Linked DNA regions of Nothobranchius furzeri. The protein of the gene in region 2 purifies or fractionates together with the protein of the main gene of each other region. This does not show direct contact. Links are inferred from orthologs where the notes say so. Each region holds a gene or a part of one and is shown on either strand. Other genes may lie near its edges. The genes, in order: tsen54, tsen15 and tsen2.

Evidence for each region.
Region 1: the proteins of tsen15 (region 2) and tsen54 purify together in Homo sapiens (affinity purification with mass spectrometry; 4 studies listed by BioGRID and IntAct, counting the BioPlex papers as one, with this or other methods). This does not show direct contact. The link is inferred for Nothobranchius furzeri from reciprocal best matches to the Homo sapiens genes TSEN15 and TSEN54.
Region 3: the proteins of tsen15 (region 2) and tsen2 purify together in Homo sapiens (affinity purification with mass spectrometry; 4 studies listed by BioGRID and IntAct, counting the BioPlex papers as one, with this or other methods). This does not show direct contact. The link is inferred for Nothobranchius furzeri from reciprocal best matches to the Homo sapiens genes TSEN15 and TSEN2.

The regions. Positions count from the first base shown.
Region 1 is NC_091745.1:25,417,887-25,423,047, forward strand, and holds part of tsen54 (tRNA-splicing endonuclease subunit Sen54), read left to right. Parts: intron 1-21; coding exon 22-105; intron 106-224; coding exon 225-323; intron 324-394; coding exon 395-447; intron 448-1,884; coding exon 1,885-1,986; intron 1,987-2,461; coding exon 2,462-2,912; intron 2,913-2,971; coding exon 2,972-3,107; intron 3,108-3,181; coding exon 3,182-3,242; intron 3,243-5,161.
Region 2 is NC_091751.1:70,462,829-70,468,659, forward strand, and holds tsen15 (tRNA-splicing endonuclease subunit Sen15), read right to left. Parts: upstream 3,246-5,831; 5' UTR 3,125-3,245; coding exon 3,050-3,124; intron 1,965-3,049; coding exon 1,883-1,964; intron 1,722-1,882; coding exon 1,586-1,721; intron 1,513-1,585; coding exon 1,344-1,512; 3' UTR 1,058-1,343; downstream 1-1,057. UniProt on the Homo sapiens protein: Non-catalytic subunit of the tRNA-splicing endonuclease complex, a complex responsible for identification and cleavage of the splice sites in pre-tRNA. It cleaves pre-tRNA at the 5' and 3' splice sites to release the intron.
Region 3 is NC_091743.1:77,138,110-77,144,057, reverse strand, and holds the start of tsen2 (tRNA-splicing endonuclease subunit Sen2), read right to left. Parts: upstream 3,631-5,948; 5' UTR 3,502-3,630; coding exon 3,331-3,501; intron 3,050-3,330; coding exon 2,983-3,049; intron 2,902-2,982; coding exon 2,862-2,901; intron 2,784-2,861; coding exon 2,523-2,783; intron 1,926-2,522; coding exon 1,778-1,925; intron 1,699-1,777; coding exon 1,624-1,698; intron 1,545-1,623; coding exon 1,494-1,544; intron 1,416-1,493; coding exon 1,271-1,415; intron 1,138-1,270; coding exon 1,101-1,137; intron 318-1,100; coding exon 206-317; intron 126-205; coding exon 36-125; intron 1-35. Other genes in the region: MKRN2 opposite strand protein, read right to left, coding at 4,162-4,384, 4,451-4,619, 5,154-5,203, 5,765-5,948.

The DNA.
Region 1 (5,161 bases), on a different chromosome or scaffold from region 2:
ATTCAGTTTCATTTTTCACAGGGAAAGTTTTGGCAGACGATGGGCTTTTCGTCTGACGGAAAGCAGTTCCTCCTCCCTGAAGAGGCTCTCTACCTGATGGAGTGTGTGAGTGGCAGATTGATCCAGTTCATCAGAATGTGGTGGTTTCACAACAAAGGACACTCGATTAATTCCATTGATTCGGTTCTACTTTTTTAACTTATTGAATTTGTTTGTGAGAGCAGGGAAACGTGCTGGTGTTTTATAAGGAGCTGCCGCTCTCCATCCAGGATGGATATGAGATGTTTCTGTCCTCGGACACAGTCGGCCTGCAGCAGTTTCAGGTAACGTTGTTTTAATTCTTGTTCTGAAACGTGCTTCTGAGTCCATCTCAAGACTCGCTTTTGTTTTAAAGGTTTTCGGGCATCTGAAGAGGCTCGGCTACGTGGTGCACAGATTTGATCCGAGGTAACAGAACCGTTTGTTCGATGCAAAAATATTATTCAGCACTTTGAATAAATATTGCGATATAATCTGAAGCATGATTAGTAACATTATTTATCTCAGCCCATTCTTATCTTCTGATTATACGTCAGGATTACAGTTGGAATATTCTCACCTACCAGATACAGGCAGCAACACAAAGACTTAAAAAAGAACAGAATGCCATTTAAAAGACATTAAACGTGCCAAAGTAATAAAAAAAACATAAAACTTTATAGTCATTTTATGGTATGCTATGATTAAAGGGGCATTGTGGAAGTTTGACAGCCAAAACATGTATAGAAATAATAAATGTCTTCTTCATACATTCTCCTGCAATGCCCTGGTCCTGTAGAATGAGCCCTGGCATTTTTACTGTGATTGCCTGTTTTTCTGTAAAATCACAGAAAAAGAGAGATGCTCGGGTCGAGCAGGCTGCTTCATGCGCGTTCACGCTCAGGCATAGCCCGTAGCATTTGCTATCCGTAGCTTTAGCAGCAGAGAGAGAGGCAGTGCCACTTTGTCGCTGTTCCTAACGCCTAGTGACAAAGCTAGCTACGTTTCTGAGGACCCTTAGCTACTTTCTGTGGCACAGGAGTTAAGTGCTCGCCCCGTAATCGGAAGGTTGCAGGTTTGAGCCCCGCTCAGTTTGTCGCTGTCGTTGTGTCCTTGGGCAAGGCACTTAACCCACGTTGCCTGCTGGTGGTGGTCGGAGGGACCGGTGGCACCTGCGCTCGGCAGCCTCGCCTCTCAGTGCGCCCCAGGGCAGCTGTGGCTACATCGTAGCTCATCCCCACCAGTGTGTGAATGTGTGTGTGAATGGGTGAATGACTGATTGTGTTGTAAAGTGCCTTGGGGGGGTTCCAGGACCCTAGAAGGCGCTATATCAAATACAGGCCATTTATTTTTATTTCAAATTTAGTTTAATTAGCTTTTAGCTGTTTGCGAGTTTTAGTTTAGGTTTTATTTAGTTTAAATGTTTAATTGCACATTAACAGTGCTACATGGAATTTGCATTAATGCAATATTAACTTAGTCTTCTTTACAAACTCCTCCTCCTCCACCCGCTCCAGGCTCTCAGCAGCAGACACTCCTTTTGTCCAAAGTAGACGCAGCAGCGTCCATCAGCATGTCCAATCGCAGAAGGCTGAGTCAGAATATCGTTGGCTAAATCCAGATAATTTGTACCATATACTGTTTATATCACCCGTTACTAATAGGATTATATCAAAACAAGCTGCTTCATTAAAAAAATAATTAAAAAAAGGTCAAATCCATTTGATTTGACACAAAATACATAGTGAGATTTTAGAATCGGTGTCTTTCTGGGTTTTGTTTAAAGATAGAACCAAACTGAATAGATAAACGCAGTTTTCCTTGTTTAAAATGAGTGGCAGACTTGTTTGTGTTGTTTTTTTCCAGCTTGGAGCCGTCGTCCTATGTGAGACAGCTGAACCTGCCCCAGTCCCATGAGCGAGGAGGAAGAACGCTGAAGAGGAAACGGAGCGTCAGCCCGACGTCCAGGTAAGCAGCCCGATCCTAAACCCCAAACCACAGTTTCGTTACTGCCTGGTTTAACCATCAAGGGAAATAATCGGGACAAAACTTGCATTTACTGTTTATTTGTTTATCGTAAAAATGCAGCTCAAAGTGTTTTAAAACATGCTACAAATGTTTCAGTTAGAAAAACTCACCAGTTTGTTCAAAAGTATTTACGAGAATCAATAACGAGTGTTTGGTAAAGAAGGACTTCCAGTTAAAAACAACCAGACATCAAAGCTCTGAAAAAGACGTTAAATGAGGAGCAGATGTGCACGTGTGTGGAGGTAAAGCTAAGAAATACAAACGTTTTAAGCTACGATCATTAAGTTAATGTTGGTTAAAAAATGAAGTAAATACGTTTACTTTAAAATGAGAGTTTTAACATTATTATTTGATAAAAACTGCAGCTTCTCCCTAACAAGCACAAGTCTGCAGCTGGTTTGTGTTTTCTCTGCAGTCAGACTGAAACACGAGCTGAATCCCCCGCTGAGAAAATGGAGGAGGATAGTAAACTCCCCGAGTCACTCCTAGTGACCTCTGCAGAACCTCCTGAGGCCCAGAACGCCTCCATCAGCTCTGCAGATGACAGTCGGGTCAGAACCTGGAGGACCTGGAATGGTCCTGGACGAGACTCTGAGAAAACCTTGATCACCGCCTCTTCATCTGCTCGCTCACGCTGGGACTTCAGCACCATCTTCTTCCCGGACCTGGGCCACGGGGGCCAGCGCCCCAGCTGCATGGCCCCCCCGGACCCGTCGCTGCTGCCTGCAGATCTGACGGCTGGAGTTTGTGACGTCGCAGCTTGGAGGCACAAAATAAACCTGCGACATGTGAAGATGTCTGCAAAAGAGAGGAAGAGGGAGCAGCACAAACACAGGCGGTGGCGGGACATGAACAAAGACAAAGAGGTAAAAACTAAACATATCACGGGTGGATAAGTCACACTTATTTATTTGTTTATTTAAAGGTTCGCAGGTGCAGTAACTGGGCGGAGTATCACGACCTCTTGGCAAGGCGGCAGGCGAAGCCCCGAGGCCAACCTGCTCACTTATGGAACGCGGAGGTTGAGCCTTTACACAACCCGACTCGACCCCTCTCCACTGGTGAGCTGGTGAAGGATCTGAGTGTTTATCGGTTTAACTCTGATTAAAAACTCAATATCTGTGTTTCCTATCAGCGGAGCTGCTGGACAAAATCAGCGTGATTAAATCTACACATCTGCTAGACGGAGCATCCAGGTACTGAATGCTTTTATGAGACGTTAAAGGCGGAGAAGTCTTACGAATGTGTTTGATGTGAAACAGTAGATCTAATCCGTCTGATAATCACGCTTCAGAACCTTTTATTTACCCACTCGGATGTGGTTTAACACTCCCAGTTGGGGACAAAAGTCCAACTCTCGCTAATATTTTAACAGCTGAAAGAAAATCATAAGCAACACTAAAAACACTGATTTCAAAACTATATTGATAGGATTACTAATGCCATAACAACATTGCTGTTTAATTCATACCATTTGAAGCTTTTTATAACTTTTCATGCATTTTCTGTTAAAACCCAAATTTATTTTTTATCTTTTTGGTAATTTTAATGTTTTCATTCATGTTTCTGTTGCTTCTCCACCTCTTACCTTCTCTAAAGTCCGTTTCTATGTTTAGCTAAGATTTTACACTTTTGATATAATCTTTAGTTTGTGAATTCTTCCCTTTTTCCAACTAATCTTTTTATTTTTCTCTGTCTTCAGTTTCTTTATGCAAAACATTTTTAAACTGAGAATCATTCTGATGGCTTTTTCTGTCTTAATAATTGTCTGATTTTCATTTGTTTGGTCTGCCGTATTGACCTAAGAGTTTATCTGTTGGCCCTTAATTATATTTTATTTTACTGGCAACTTTTACCATTTCACTCTCATAAAAATGACTCGAAACTCCCCAAAAGATAAGTTTTGGCTTTTTGAAATATATTTTATTCTTCTGAAAAGGCTAAAGATCTCTAGAAAACTCACAAAGCACAAATATTTGACATTAAGTCTAAAAGTGTTCAAACACAGTCTGTAATGGTAACAATTAGGGATGTGAATGTTGGAGCAACTCACGATTTGATTCGATTCTGATTCTTAGGATGTCGATTCGATTCAGAATTGATTCTCGATTTAAATCGATTCACAATCAGTATTAACAAAGAGTGTCGGCTCCAGGATGAACTACTTTGTTGTACAAGTTATTTAAAGCTACGGGACATTTTTATTAGACTTTAAACTGGTCATGCTCCAAAAATGCAAATTTACAAGGTAAAATAAAGTGATTCTAAAACTGTAAACAGAAACAATCTTTTGACCAAAAGGCAACATTTATTTTTGCTTACCTTGTAAAATATAACACATGATCTGTAGTTACCTAACAGTAGCTGTGAAAGTAATATGGTCAAATACTTTTCAAGTATGTGTAGAAACAAGTTACATGAGTAATCCTGAGTACTCATTTATCAACTTAGAAAATGAATATGAGAATATCTCAAATTTCTGAGTATGGAAAAAATGACATTCAAGGGCCCTCTTATCAGCAGATTCAAACATAAATCATCTCAATTTATGGGACCACAAAAGTAATCAATCAATCAATCAAAGCTTTATTTATAAAGCGCCTTCCGCAACCCTGTCAGGAAGCCCAAAGCGCTGAACATGGTACAGTTGTAAGTAATTATACACAATAAATCAACAATAAAAGAAATTCAAATTACAAAATACAAAATGGAAATTACAAGATAGATGAAACATTCCGGTAAAATACAAATGTGTGAGACACAATTGGATTGAGTGGATGGATTGAGTGTACCAATGAAAACTGTGGAATGGATTCAACATAATAGAGGGCCATAATCAAACATGTTCTGGAAACGCCAAGCGGAGGAGGTGTGATTTTAGGTGATTCTTAAAGACTGGCAGAGAAGGGGACAGCCTAACTGAGGGTGGCAACTGGTTCCAGAGTAACGGTGCTAGGACTGAGAAAGCCCGGTCCCCACGGGTACGACACCTAGACCGAGGGACAGCGAGCAGGCCTTGGTCAGAGGAGCGCAGAGCGCGTGATGGGGAATGTCTGTTCAGGAGTGTGGCCAGATAGGGGGAGCACCACCCTGGAAGAAATGATAAACAAAGACG
Region 2 (5,831 bases):
GGAGAGTTTTTTTTAAACGCGGTGGTGTGGATGCAAGTTTTTGGAGGGGCGGATATTCGTTTTTAAAAACCCCGGCTACGTGTGGACTAGGCCTGAGACCTCCACTACTGCGGTTCCCCCGTTCTACCACTGGATGCTGTTCACACGCACGGCCAGAGCTGTTCTTTTATTTAGCAACATTTCACGCACAAGCACTAACTGGTAAACACCGCGCAATGCGTAAAGTTGGTCCTGCGCACGAAATTCTGTTCGTGAATACGGTTGATAAATGACGGCCCTGGGCTGTAACACAGAGGTCACTGGTTCATAACACCAGCAGGGTGCATGTCTTGCTCAAGGACACAACAGACAGAGGCCGGGGTTGAGGCTGAGACGGTGGATGAGGCGGCTCAACTGGTGAGCTGATCGCTGAATGGACCGAAACCCAACACGGTCCTGTAGCCCACCGCTGTGGTTTTTATGGCCGGTACCAATTTTTATAGGATTTTGTTGCAGATGGCCGACACCTAAAGCCGATTATTAGCCCGATATATAAATCCATTTTAGCAGCTCACCCATTGTGAAATGAACACTCACTGTGTGCTATATTAATTAAATAAGTCGAACCTCTTAAGATTTTTTAACTTCAAATGTAAAACTAACTTAAAACATAAAAAACGGTGTGTTGGCGTCCTTTTTTCACTCCAGTAGTGGCAGCAGTTGGCCCCACCGGTGCCTGATTTATTTATTTATTTTAATCGGCTTTCAAAAATAATTTTGACCGACGGCCAAATTGGCCGGCTGATATTTGGGTCGGCCGCTACTTCCCTGGTTCTTGAATTCAGCGCTGCTAATTCCTGCTATCTGATCACCCCCCCCAGTAACCGGAGGGTTGCAGGATCAATCCCCCGTTGCAGTCGTGTCCTCGAGCAAGACTTCCAACAACACAAAAGTCAGTTTTAATAAAACAAGCTTGGAGACATCATAGTTTGATTTGGGAGAAGGTTTAAACCCGGCTGCAGATGTCAGCCGTCAGGCCCCGTCTGCATCTGCTGCTCACTTAAAGAATCATCACAGCTGGATCACAAGTGATGTTTACTTTGTGTTCGGATCGGATATCAAAGACATAAAAATAACAGCAAAGTTAGTAAACCTTTGGTTTCGCCAGACCATCAGCAGCATCCTGATGTGGGACGTTCAACCCGCACACCGGCACCAGAACCTGGTGAAGGCCCACGTTGAGGTCACGCTCACTCTTGTGGCTCATTCTTCATATTCTGAACTTGGGCCACAGGCCGGACCTCCAGCCTGTCAGGGTGCTGGTTTAAATGCACCCTCCTCCGCACTCTCCGCCTACACATCCATCACTGCTTTCTTCTCCGCTGCTTCTGCCGACGACCCGCATCATGGAAAAGTCCCACGGGGGGTTCTGGAGTCACCAACCCGTCGGTCATCCTCTGATAAACCAGGGTGGAGTCGGACGCCACGGCACACAGCAGCAAAGGGAACCCGCGGTCCAGAAGGTGGCGTATGCTGCACAGCAGGGACAAAGGCTCTGTGACTGAATGTAAGCAGGGATGTCGGTTGAAGTCTAAGTTTTTCTCACCTCCTGTGGCTCAGGGAACGGTGAACAGGCAGAGGCAGAACCGTCTGAACTGGACCTCCATCCTTCTCCTTGGCTTCCAGCAGAACCAGCTGCAGCTCTGGACTCTCGGCATAGGTCACCTTCGTCCACTGGCGCACTGCAGAGGGCAAGAATCAGAGCGAGAGAGATGACCGAGTCAAGAGGAGGTCCTTTTCATTTCTGTATCACGTCCGCAGGAGGTTCTCCTTGGCCCGTGTGGGCCGGTTCTACCTGCATGTTAGAGGAGAACAAACCCGAGCCGAGTCGGGCCTAACTCACCCTCAGTGAGGTCCATGAACACCAGAAAAGCTGCGTGCAGCTGTGTGCTGTCTCCAACCTCCAGTTCCTTCATCTGCTGGTACTAGCACAACAAAGACTCAGAGATCCAAACACCCGACAGACTGGACTGTTTACCTCATACGTCACCCTTTCACTACCTCGTTACCACACTCGGGACCAAATGTGAACTTCCTTCTCCTTTTGAGTCTAAATTTCAAAGACCGACAGTCTGAAACTTAGCCAGGATATTGGTGGATGCTTCCACCCTCAGGCCCGTGGTCCATAGACCTCCACTATGCTATGCTTTTCCACTTCCCCCTTTCCTGTAAACATCTACATAACCAAGCCTCTACCATGAGTAAGAGGGTTTTAGGTGTGGTGAACAGCCTCGGAGAAGGGTCAGGTGAGTTTACCTGGTGTGGATGAGTTCAGACTGATTGAAGCAAGAGTGTGACAAACGAGCCACCTGTCCAGGTGTTTTCTGCTCTCTGTAAAATGTTCTGGGGTTAGGGAAGACATCGGTGCATCCCTGATTGAACTAGCTTTTTGGCCAACCAGCACGCGCCAGGCGGGCTTGTTCCTCGGTTCTGCGCTTGGCCCCCACAGGTGGGTTGGCCAGCCGACGGACATCCGGTGCGGGTTCACCGTGGGTTGCCCTCGTTTATCTGTGGGATTTGTCGAGTTCGGGTATTTATTTATGTTTTTTCATTTGCCACGATGCCCACAGATCAGCTCTGCAACCGGTTTACGACGGACCTTTCAGGGTCCTTGAGCCAGGCCCAATATATTTCCTCCTTGGTGTACGGGGGTCAGGAGATGGTGTCCGCAGATGGGCTTCATGTGGAAACTCATCACATTTATGGCCTCAGGGTAAAGAGCTGCCCACAGCCAGGTCACTCTGAGGCTAATAATGTCACATCAGTAGAATAAAAAATGCTAAAAATTGGATGTTACAGTTTTGATCTTATTTTACTTCTTTCTTTATACATTTACATGTACCAATACTTTTTCTGACACGTTTTTTAACGTTACTAATGAAATTTGAGTAAAACGACCCGTTAGTACTGAAGGATAACATATCAGATGTGCCTCTTCTCTAAGGTTCGCTAGCGGTGCCAGAGGGCGCACTGGTGACGTCATGCTTCCGCCACCGGCTCCTCCACTCACCACCGGGTGCTGCAGGATCCAGTTCGGAGGTTCGGTCTCGCCTCGCTTCTTCGTTCCGTCCATCACTTCCGCCATGTTTGTAACTGAACGTTAGAACCGAACATCGTATTTAAACGCAGGAGGGCTGAAGCTGAGCGGCTCAGCACCAGAGCGTTGGTGGTGCGTTACAATAGTTTGTCCGGGTGGGAAAAGGAACGCTTATATTTGGTTCCGCAAACCGGAAGAGCATAGGAAAATTACCGCTGTGTAATATTATAGTGCACCGTTTTATTTGAGGAAAACCGTGAAAATACTTAAAAAATAAAACAACAAACTTATTTAGCTTGTAACAAATTTGACTTTTAGTTTAGTAGACCGTGAGTCTGCTACAGATTATTAACCACAGGGCAGGGGGTCAGGACTGTGCTCAAAAAGTGATGTTACTGATCCATTCTAAAAGAATGTCAAATCATTCAAACAAATTAGATTTGTTATTCATTATTTGAAACTGACTAGTTAATAAACAAAATGTTTAGATTTTCAGAATATCTTCTTTTATATATTAATGTGTTGAAATGTAGAAATAAACTTGTGAAAACAAAGCATTCTTATTTAGCAAGCATGGCATTTTTAACAAACATATTTACACGTAAAGTGCCAGTGTGAATAAATCGTATGGCTCTTCGGTACTTTCATTGTGTAAAAGTAGCTCACGGGCCAAAAAAGGTTGGAGACCCCTGATCTAAACAAAGAGCAGAAGTCTAAAGAACGGCAGATTCAGACGTAGCTGTGAAATCCAGAAACAACAGCCCGATAAGCTCGTTTCACTTGCAGTGAACTCATTTGACTTTGAGGCCTAGGTCCTGTTTGAGTCCCACGCAGAACAATGTGAACACGTGGGTAGGGCCAGATGTGCCCTGGATGTAGTACTGGAATGTTGCACTAGGGGGCACACAAGATCACTCAGACCAGATAGAGCCGTTTTTGTGGGTACAACCAGAACCTACTTAAGCCCCATTCCCATCTGTACCGGGTCGGCCCGGGCCGGGTAGCCCCAGTCGGCCCCAGTCTGGCCCGGTTGTTTCCACACATCCTTGTCTTAAGCCCATGTGGGCTGATTCTACCCACCAATCAGAGGCTTGCTCTAATGGAAGGTGTGAATTTGCTGTCAGCAGTGGGTGTGTTGGCCCTGGTCGGCCTGAAGCAGACCCCCTCGAGAAGAGGGCTGAGAACGAGCCCTGGTTGGCCCGGAAAAATACCAGGCCACCCAGATATGTAAACAACCTACGCTACCCGGCCCGGGCCGACCCGGTACAGGTGGGAATGGGGCTTTAGGTAGGTCACTTTGACTTTAAGGCATGCTACTTTGACCACCCTATCGGTCTTTATTAGAAGGAAAATGTAATGCTGTCAACATCAGCGAGGCTCACAATGGCGACGGAAACTGTCATGAGATGAAGATAAACTGCTACACTGTCTATTAAACAAGAAAACATCAATGGAAACTGAAAAGAAACACAGAAAGAGGATAAAATGTGTGACGGAAGGTCGTGTTTTATTCCTACTGATAGAATAACAAAAGCACAGAAACAATACTTTTATTTCACAAAGGAAGAAAGCAGTGTAAGCAAACCCTGAAAACATGGGATATCAGTACTGCTCCACATATGAAGAGAAGAAGAACGCCACAGGAATGATTGGTCATTGATATGTAATAACTGAATCAGCAAAAAGACAAGAAATAAGAACATGTTTATGTTTGGATGCTGACTCAAACTCCAATGGCACCTGAGAATATAAATGTTACACAGCAATTATTTAGTTCCTCAAATCAACTAAAGCTTTAATAATAGATCCTAAAATGACATTATACAAAAGAATCCACACTCTTGTCCAACGGGCATAGATCTGAACTAGTGTGGTTAACAGAAACCATCATTTAGGCAGAAAGCTGGGACACCACAGAGCCCAGCCGGCGGGTCGGACCCGTGTATTGCATAGGGAGTGTGTGGGGGGGTGAAGAAGGGCGGGTGGAATCTGAGCAGACTGAAAACCAGGACGTGGCGAGGTAAGTTCTGGGGAGTCTGCGGCAAACAGCATTTGTTCCTCAGGTGGGCCGCCGCTGTGTTGGAGGTTACTGCCAGCAGCAACCAAAGCACCGCGACGCCAGAGCGGAGACAACAGCTGCAGGTGAAGAACGGAACAGCCGACTTGTATCAGAAAGGCAACTGACGATAAAACGTCCCATCTAATAATAATAATAATAATAATAATAATAATCCACAACTAAAGATGGAGATCCACGCAAAACTAACCAAATAAAAGCAACTCCTCCATGTTTCTCTCACGCTTTTTAAAGCCGATGGAGAAGACTTGGTTTGTTATTAAACTCTCAGTTCTAGACGTGAACAAAGTTCCACAGTGTTGCTTGTAAAAACAGTGACAGTGCAAGCCCCTCGTGACAGGAAACACCTTTCACACTAAAAGTGCCTTGTTGCAGGGGTTCCACGAGGGAGGCTCTACCGACGCAGCGGTCCATCCGACTGTAAACACGCTCACAATGTTTAAGGCTTTCAGTTGTCCGGGATAAAGGAACGAATGTGGGAATCACTAAAAACAAATCAGAGCCAAGCACATTCCAAGGAATTCTCACTGGTTTTCCGGCTTGAGTCTGAAACTCCTGATCGTTGCCATGGAACAATTCCTCAAACGTAACAGAAATACTCCCGCAGGAATTTCAGTTGGAAGTCTGGTTGGGATTGCTCCGGTGCTACTGTGAGGATTCATTTACCTGTCGTTATGG
Region 3 (5,948 bases), on a different chromosome or scaffold from region 2:
TAGTGCTGATATGTGACACACTGACAGGTTACTACCTGAACCTTCAACCTGCTCAGGCACACAGGTGAGTCCAGCTCTGCCTCCAATAGGTCAGCGGGGTATATGACGTAACACAACATCAGCTCCTGACGAACACACACAGATTAGCATCAGTAGAGTCAGAATAATGGCCATGTATGACGGCACAAACCTGGCAGGACATTACCTTGGAGACGTTTGCTGTGATCCTGCTGAGAGCGGCCAGAGAACGCCATGAAAACGGACGCAGAGCCATGCCCCTGAATGTTTCATCTGTCCTTTCAACTACCACGGAATAACTACAGGAAGAGAACAGGGACAATCTGAGGGACACGGAGGACACCAGAATATTGGGAGCAGTTAAGTGTAAGAAATGAAGATATGGGTCCTGTAAATAGAGGAAATATGTTTAGTCACTGAGGAGGAGTTAGGAAGCTCGTAGGACCCCAGTTCAGACCGTAACTGGACAGGGACGAGTCATAGGAACAGGTTCATCATCTACCAGGACATGGATCACTCGGTTCCAGCAACAGAGAACAAATAAAAATGTATTGGAAAAAAAATCTATTCACTTATGAGAGATGGTAAAATTATCTCCGTCAATCATACGAGTGTAGATCTGCAGACTAAACCATCATTTATTCCAGAGGCCAAACTCCTACAGCTACTGGCAGACTCTGTGTGTGTGTGTGTGTGTGTGTGTGTGTGTGTGTGTGTGTGTGTGTGTGTGTGTGTGTGTGTGTGTGTGTGTGTGTGTGTGTGTGTGTGTGTGTGTGTGTGTGTGTGTGTGTGTGTGTGTGTGTGTGTGTGTGTGTGTGTGTGTACTTTTAACTTTAACCTGTAACGCAAGGACATTTTTACACTGTGGGGATATTTTGCTGGTCCACACAACGCTAAGCACCCAAACACTTGGTTCTAGAGGTATGGTGTGAATTCACTTAGTTTAGGTTAGGGTTAAAAATAGAACCCCATGGGTTTTGCTTAGGATTAGGAAAAGTGAAGTCACAAAAATGAAAGGAAGTCAATGGAGGGTCCACACAAGGATACGGAGACAAGTACGACTGTGTGTGTGTGTGTGTTACCTGGCATGGTAGAAAGGCGGTCCTTTCCTGTATAACACTGGAAACAAACACAGACTGAATGTTTCTCAGAGTCATCATCGTTACCTTAAATCTGACAGCACCAGAGCATTTTTGGGTAAATCTGCTCTGATTGTTGACTGACTAGATATTTGTGTGATTTCTGTTCTTACTGAGATCGGCACCATACTTGGCCCCGCCTCCTCCTTTAGGGACCCACCCCTTGCTGCGAAAATGATGATAAGCAGCGTACAAGCTGATGAAGTCAGGATGAAGCGATCGGAACTTCCTCCAAAGCTGGATGATTGACAGTGGCTCCTGACCAATCACAGGAGAGAACAGAGACAAGTTCAACTCTTTATGATAGGAACCAAGCGATGAACTAACACTACACACCTGCTGAAGGTAGACGGAAAGGCAACCCAGACTGTAGACCAGGAAGAAGGCCTGTAGGTCAGCAGACAGGTGAGTGGGCAGGTAAATACTGAAGCAAACCTAATCAAAGTCCATGACTCAGGTGTGTTACCTCCTCCAGACCAAGTTGCAGGTACTCTGTGAAAGACAGTGGACTCCGCCTCACCTCTCTGACTCCTCCTCCGTCCTGCAGCCATACGACAGCAAATCATCAACAACAGAAGCAGCTCAGAAACACAACAGGACCTGCAGCTTCAGAGACCCACCTGACCTTCAGAGACCACCAGGACAAAACCAGGACCTGGAACCATAAGACCATTATCGAGATCCGAGTCAGAGGCTGGATCAGGACCAGAATCTGGGGTTGAGTCAGAGTCCTGTTCAGAGCTAGAATCAGGATCCTGTTGATTTGATCTGAATGTTGACAAGAAAAAGGTTTATTCGGTCGAAGAAAACCAACTGATCAAAACTCCTTGCACGCTGGCCTGAATTCACAGCTCCCTCCATCAGCCTCTTTGTGCTACTGCTGTACCTGCATTATGTTTCCCTGGTCTCAAAGGCTTTCTGCTGCATTTAAAATCCTATAAACCTATGCCTGTTGACCAACTTGGGGCTTCATCAGACTCACTGGGGTTCTTTTGGGGATTTAGCTGGTCTATGTTGGCCCATTAGGGATACAGAGAGCCCCATAGCACTGACCCAAGAACCCTCCCAGGCCAAACGGCAGTTCTCTGGATAGAAATCTGGACCTTCATGCAAGCTCAGATGGACCAAGAACCTGCTGTTTCTATCAGCTTCAACACAGTCATGAAAATCTTCACTCTAGATTGATCTGTCATTCTACAAATGCTGTCCTGAGCCAGAATTTGTGTTTGACCTCTCAGTCCTTTTGAATATCACCTGTACCTTTCATTTTTAACCATGTCTTTAGTTTATTGGTACTTTAGCAGGACCTTCAGGGTTCTAACAAAGCCAAGTGTGCTGGTTTGACATAAAACAGTCTACATTTACCTGCAGCCTCTCTTGGCTTCTGGCTCCACCTCTGACTCCAACCTCTGCCCCTTTGGGAGATCACAGGCTTCTATTGGCTTCACCTCTTCTTCCTCCTCCCTTGTTCCGTTCTCCCCCTCTGCCTGCCCTCCTCCCAACTCCTTCTTTACATCTTCAATGTCCACTGCCCGAGTCAACGCGAGCAGGGTTTTACCGAACACTTCTTCATCCAGTCCTTCAGCAGAGAGAGCCTCCTTTGCCCATCTGAGCAGCTCCTCATACCTGTGAAAGATAACGTGTGACATCATCATAACAGAAGTGATGTCACTGTGTGAACAGGTAGCTTATGATGGCACTGACCTGGATGGAGAGACAACAGGCAGAAGTAGACCTGCGTGTTCTGTAACACAAACAGAGACCAGGTGTGAACAGCACAGACTGGACCAGACTGACAGTGACATCACTGCAGGTGTCAACTCACGCTCCCATTTGTCCGAGACGCTGTGGTTGGGCCTGGCTCTGGACAGAACACCTTTTCCAAAGAAACCCTGAAAACAACAAACTCTGGTCAGTCTAGATGTGTTCTACTGACAGCTTTCAGAAGGTCAGGGGGCTAAGTGTGGAGGAACCGGGAAGGAACCAGTGGAAGGTCTCAAGGATCTCTGAACAACCCAGAGCTGTCAGTCAAAACAAACTACATTTTACGTGAGACTCGCCTGCCTCCGATTCAAACCAAACAACCGAGTGGACAGAAATGGAATAAAAACTAAAGGCAGGCTGACAGGAGACGAAGAACAAGACCTGGTTTCTAATGTGAACGAACTCTGACCTGGTTGTGGATCTTCTGGATGTGGTCCGGATGACAGACCAGAACCTGCTGGTTGATGAGCTCCGCTCGGTAGACCTTCCTCTCATGCGGGTCCCGGCTCACCGGCAGCGGAGCCTCGTAGTCCTCATAAACCCGGGTTCGTCGTTGGGGAGCCCGGAACTCTGCCCGCATGGTGCCGGCTCCGGCAGAGCCCGCGCTGGTTCCGGGCTGATGGTGAGAACTGTAGGGTCGGTATTATTCTGTTAGCGCATCTGTTAGCACTCAGCGAGGGGACTTGTTTTACTGTCGGACGAGGCAGTGTAACTAAATATATGTTCGTGCGCCAACATCGGCTAATTTTATCGGTTCCTCCTACAGCTGAAATGTTATTTTCATGTGATTTTTGTCTGAAGTATAATCTACAATAAACCGGTACTTCACTTTATCTTCAGAAGCTTTTAAAACGTTGACTTTTTGTTCACTTTACGGTTCTAATTGATTCAGACACTTGTTTCTGTTTGAGTCTGAAACAGGCCACACATAAATTTTTATTTACAAAATAAATAAAACAATACAAAACAAAGTTAGGAAGGACCAAAGACTCAAACAAAAACAGAACATGAAATCAGTTTCACTTATTCACAATGTCAGACAATTAAATGAATAATAAATATTCTCTGAAACACCAGAACAGACCAAACCCACCGAAACCCCCGGGTCAGAGGTCCTCTCCATTATGGTGATGTTTGTGTTTTTAGATATTTGCTTTATATCTGCAGTGTTTCTTTAAGTGTTACATTTAAATTTAGAATTTTGGTATTTTGGGGGTAATGACATCCTGATTAAGTTGGTTTAACTGGTGGGCGTGGTGTCCTCCTGTCTGTCCACCACATAATACTGGTGTTTCTGGATGTGCTGGTACAGCGTGGTGTATTTGGACACCCTCCTCATCTTGGGCAGGATGAAGCAGTGGGTGAAGTCTTCTCTGCTCAGAGGGCTGCGTCCCTCTGCCTCCAGGATGCTGTTCAGGAAGTGAAGACAGAAGCTGAAGCAGTTGTGGTCGTCCTCGTGGAACCTGAGATACACACTGGTGGTCAGGTGGTGGTCGGAGAGAACTTTGGATGTCTCACATGAAACTTACTTGTGCCACACAGGATCCCACATGGGTCCATCAGAGAAACGCTCCAGGTACTGGTCCCACTGATCCAGCAGGTGGAACATATCAGGTCGGACCAGCGGGACACTGATGCAGCATTCCCATCCGCTTTGGTCCCGTTGCACGCCATCCTGAGTGTAGTTGTACACAACTCCTAAGACACACAGGTGGGACACTCAGGTGAGACACACAGGTGGGACACTCAGGTGAGACACTCAGGTGAGACACTCAGGTGAGACACTCAGGTGAGACACTCAGGTGAGACACACAGGTGAGACACACAGGTGGGACACTCAGGTGAGACACTCAGGTGGGACACAAACACAAACAGGCAAATCTTTACATCAAACCATTTTATAACTTTTTCATTTATTTTTGTTTCTTCCTTCTTAGATATTGTCGCTCACATCTTTTTGACTTTTTCTTTTCTCTCCTGAAGGTCAAAGATCAACATGAACTTCTCCTGTAAGCAAGGCTTCGTAGAGGTGTGTGAACACACAAATTTCTGATGGTGGCTTCCGTTTGAGTGTGACTTCCTCCTAACAGCATCTTTGCTGCTGCTGCAATTGGCTGTTCAGTCGATAGTGCTGATAAACAGTTTCTGCTCTGAACATCTGGCTCTCTTCAGTGCTTGAGTCCATTTAACCCTCGCAGACCCGGTCCAACACGCCTCAGGTCGAGCTTTTACCTTTAGTGTCAGAGATGCCGGTGTGCAGATCGGACGTCCCGTCAAAGTCTCTGAGACACAAACAGCAGAAAATGCTGGTTAGACTAATTCAAACTGGTTTGAACTGGAACATACCAGGTGACACTGGTTACAATTAGATGATAAAAAAGCTTCATGTGATTCAGCCAAAGAATTCACAGCTCTACTGCTGCAGTGATCTCCCATCATGCACACACACACAAGGTCCAGAACCTTTTGGCCTGGCAGCTGTTCCGTGTCATTCAGACCAGAGTGGCAGTCTCAGTCCAGGCTGGTCTCCTCTGGTTCCATCGTGTAGGAAAGCATGAAGGTTCTTGTTACCACCAAATGGTAAAAATGGCCTGTATTTGTATAGAGCCTTCTAGAGTCCTACAACCCCCCAAGGCGCCTCACAACCCAACAGTCATCCACCCATGAACACACACTGGGGCGCACTGACGGGCACCTGTGACACCCTCTGGACTCGAGCAGATTCTGAACTTCTGTTCAGGTGCGATGTTGGTGTTCACACCAGGTTTATGACTGAAGCCTGGTTCTGACCCACTGAATCTGACCTGTATTTACCTGTGTGAGAACCACCTGTATGCTCCTACCTGTCGTGGTTGTCCCGTGCAGGGGCGACCAGCAGGCAGCAGGAGCTCTTGTGTCCATTGGTGAAGGGGGAGGGGACGCTGATGGGCGCCTCCTGCAGCCTGCTCCCCTTCAGCTCCTCCCCACAGCTTGGACACTCCTTTGGAACGGAGAAACAGAAGATCTCCTTCTGACAGTGATTCAGTC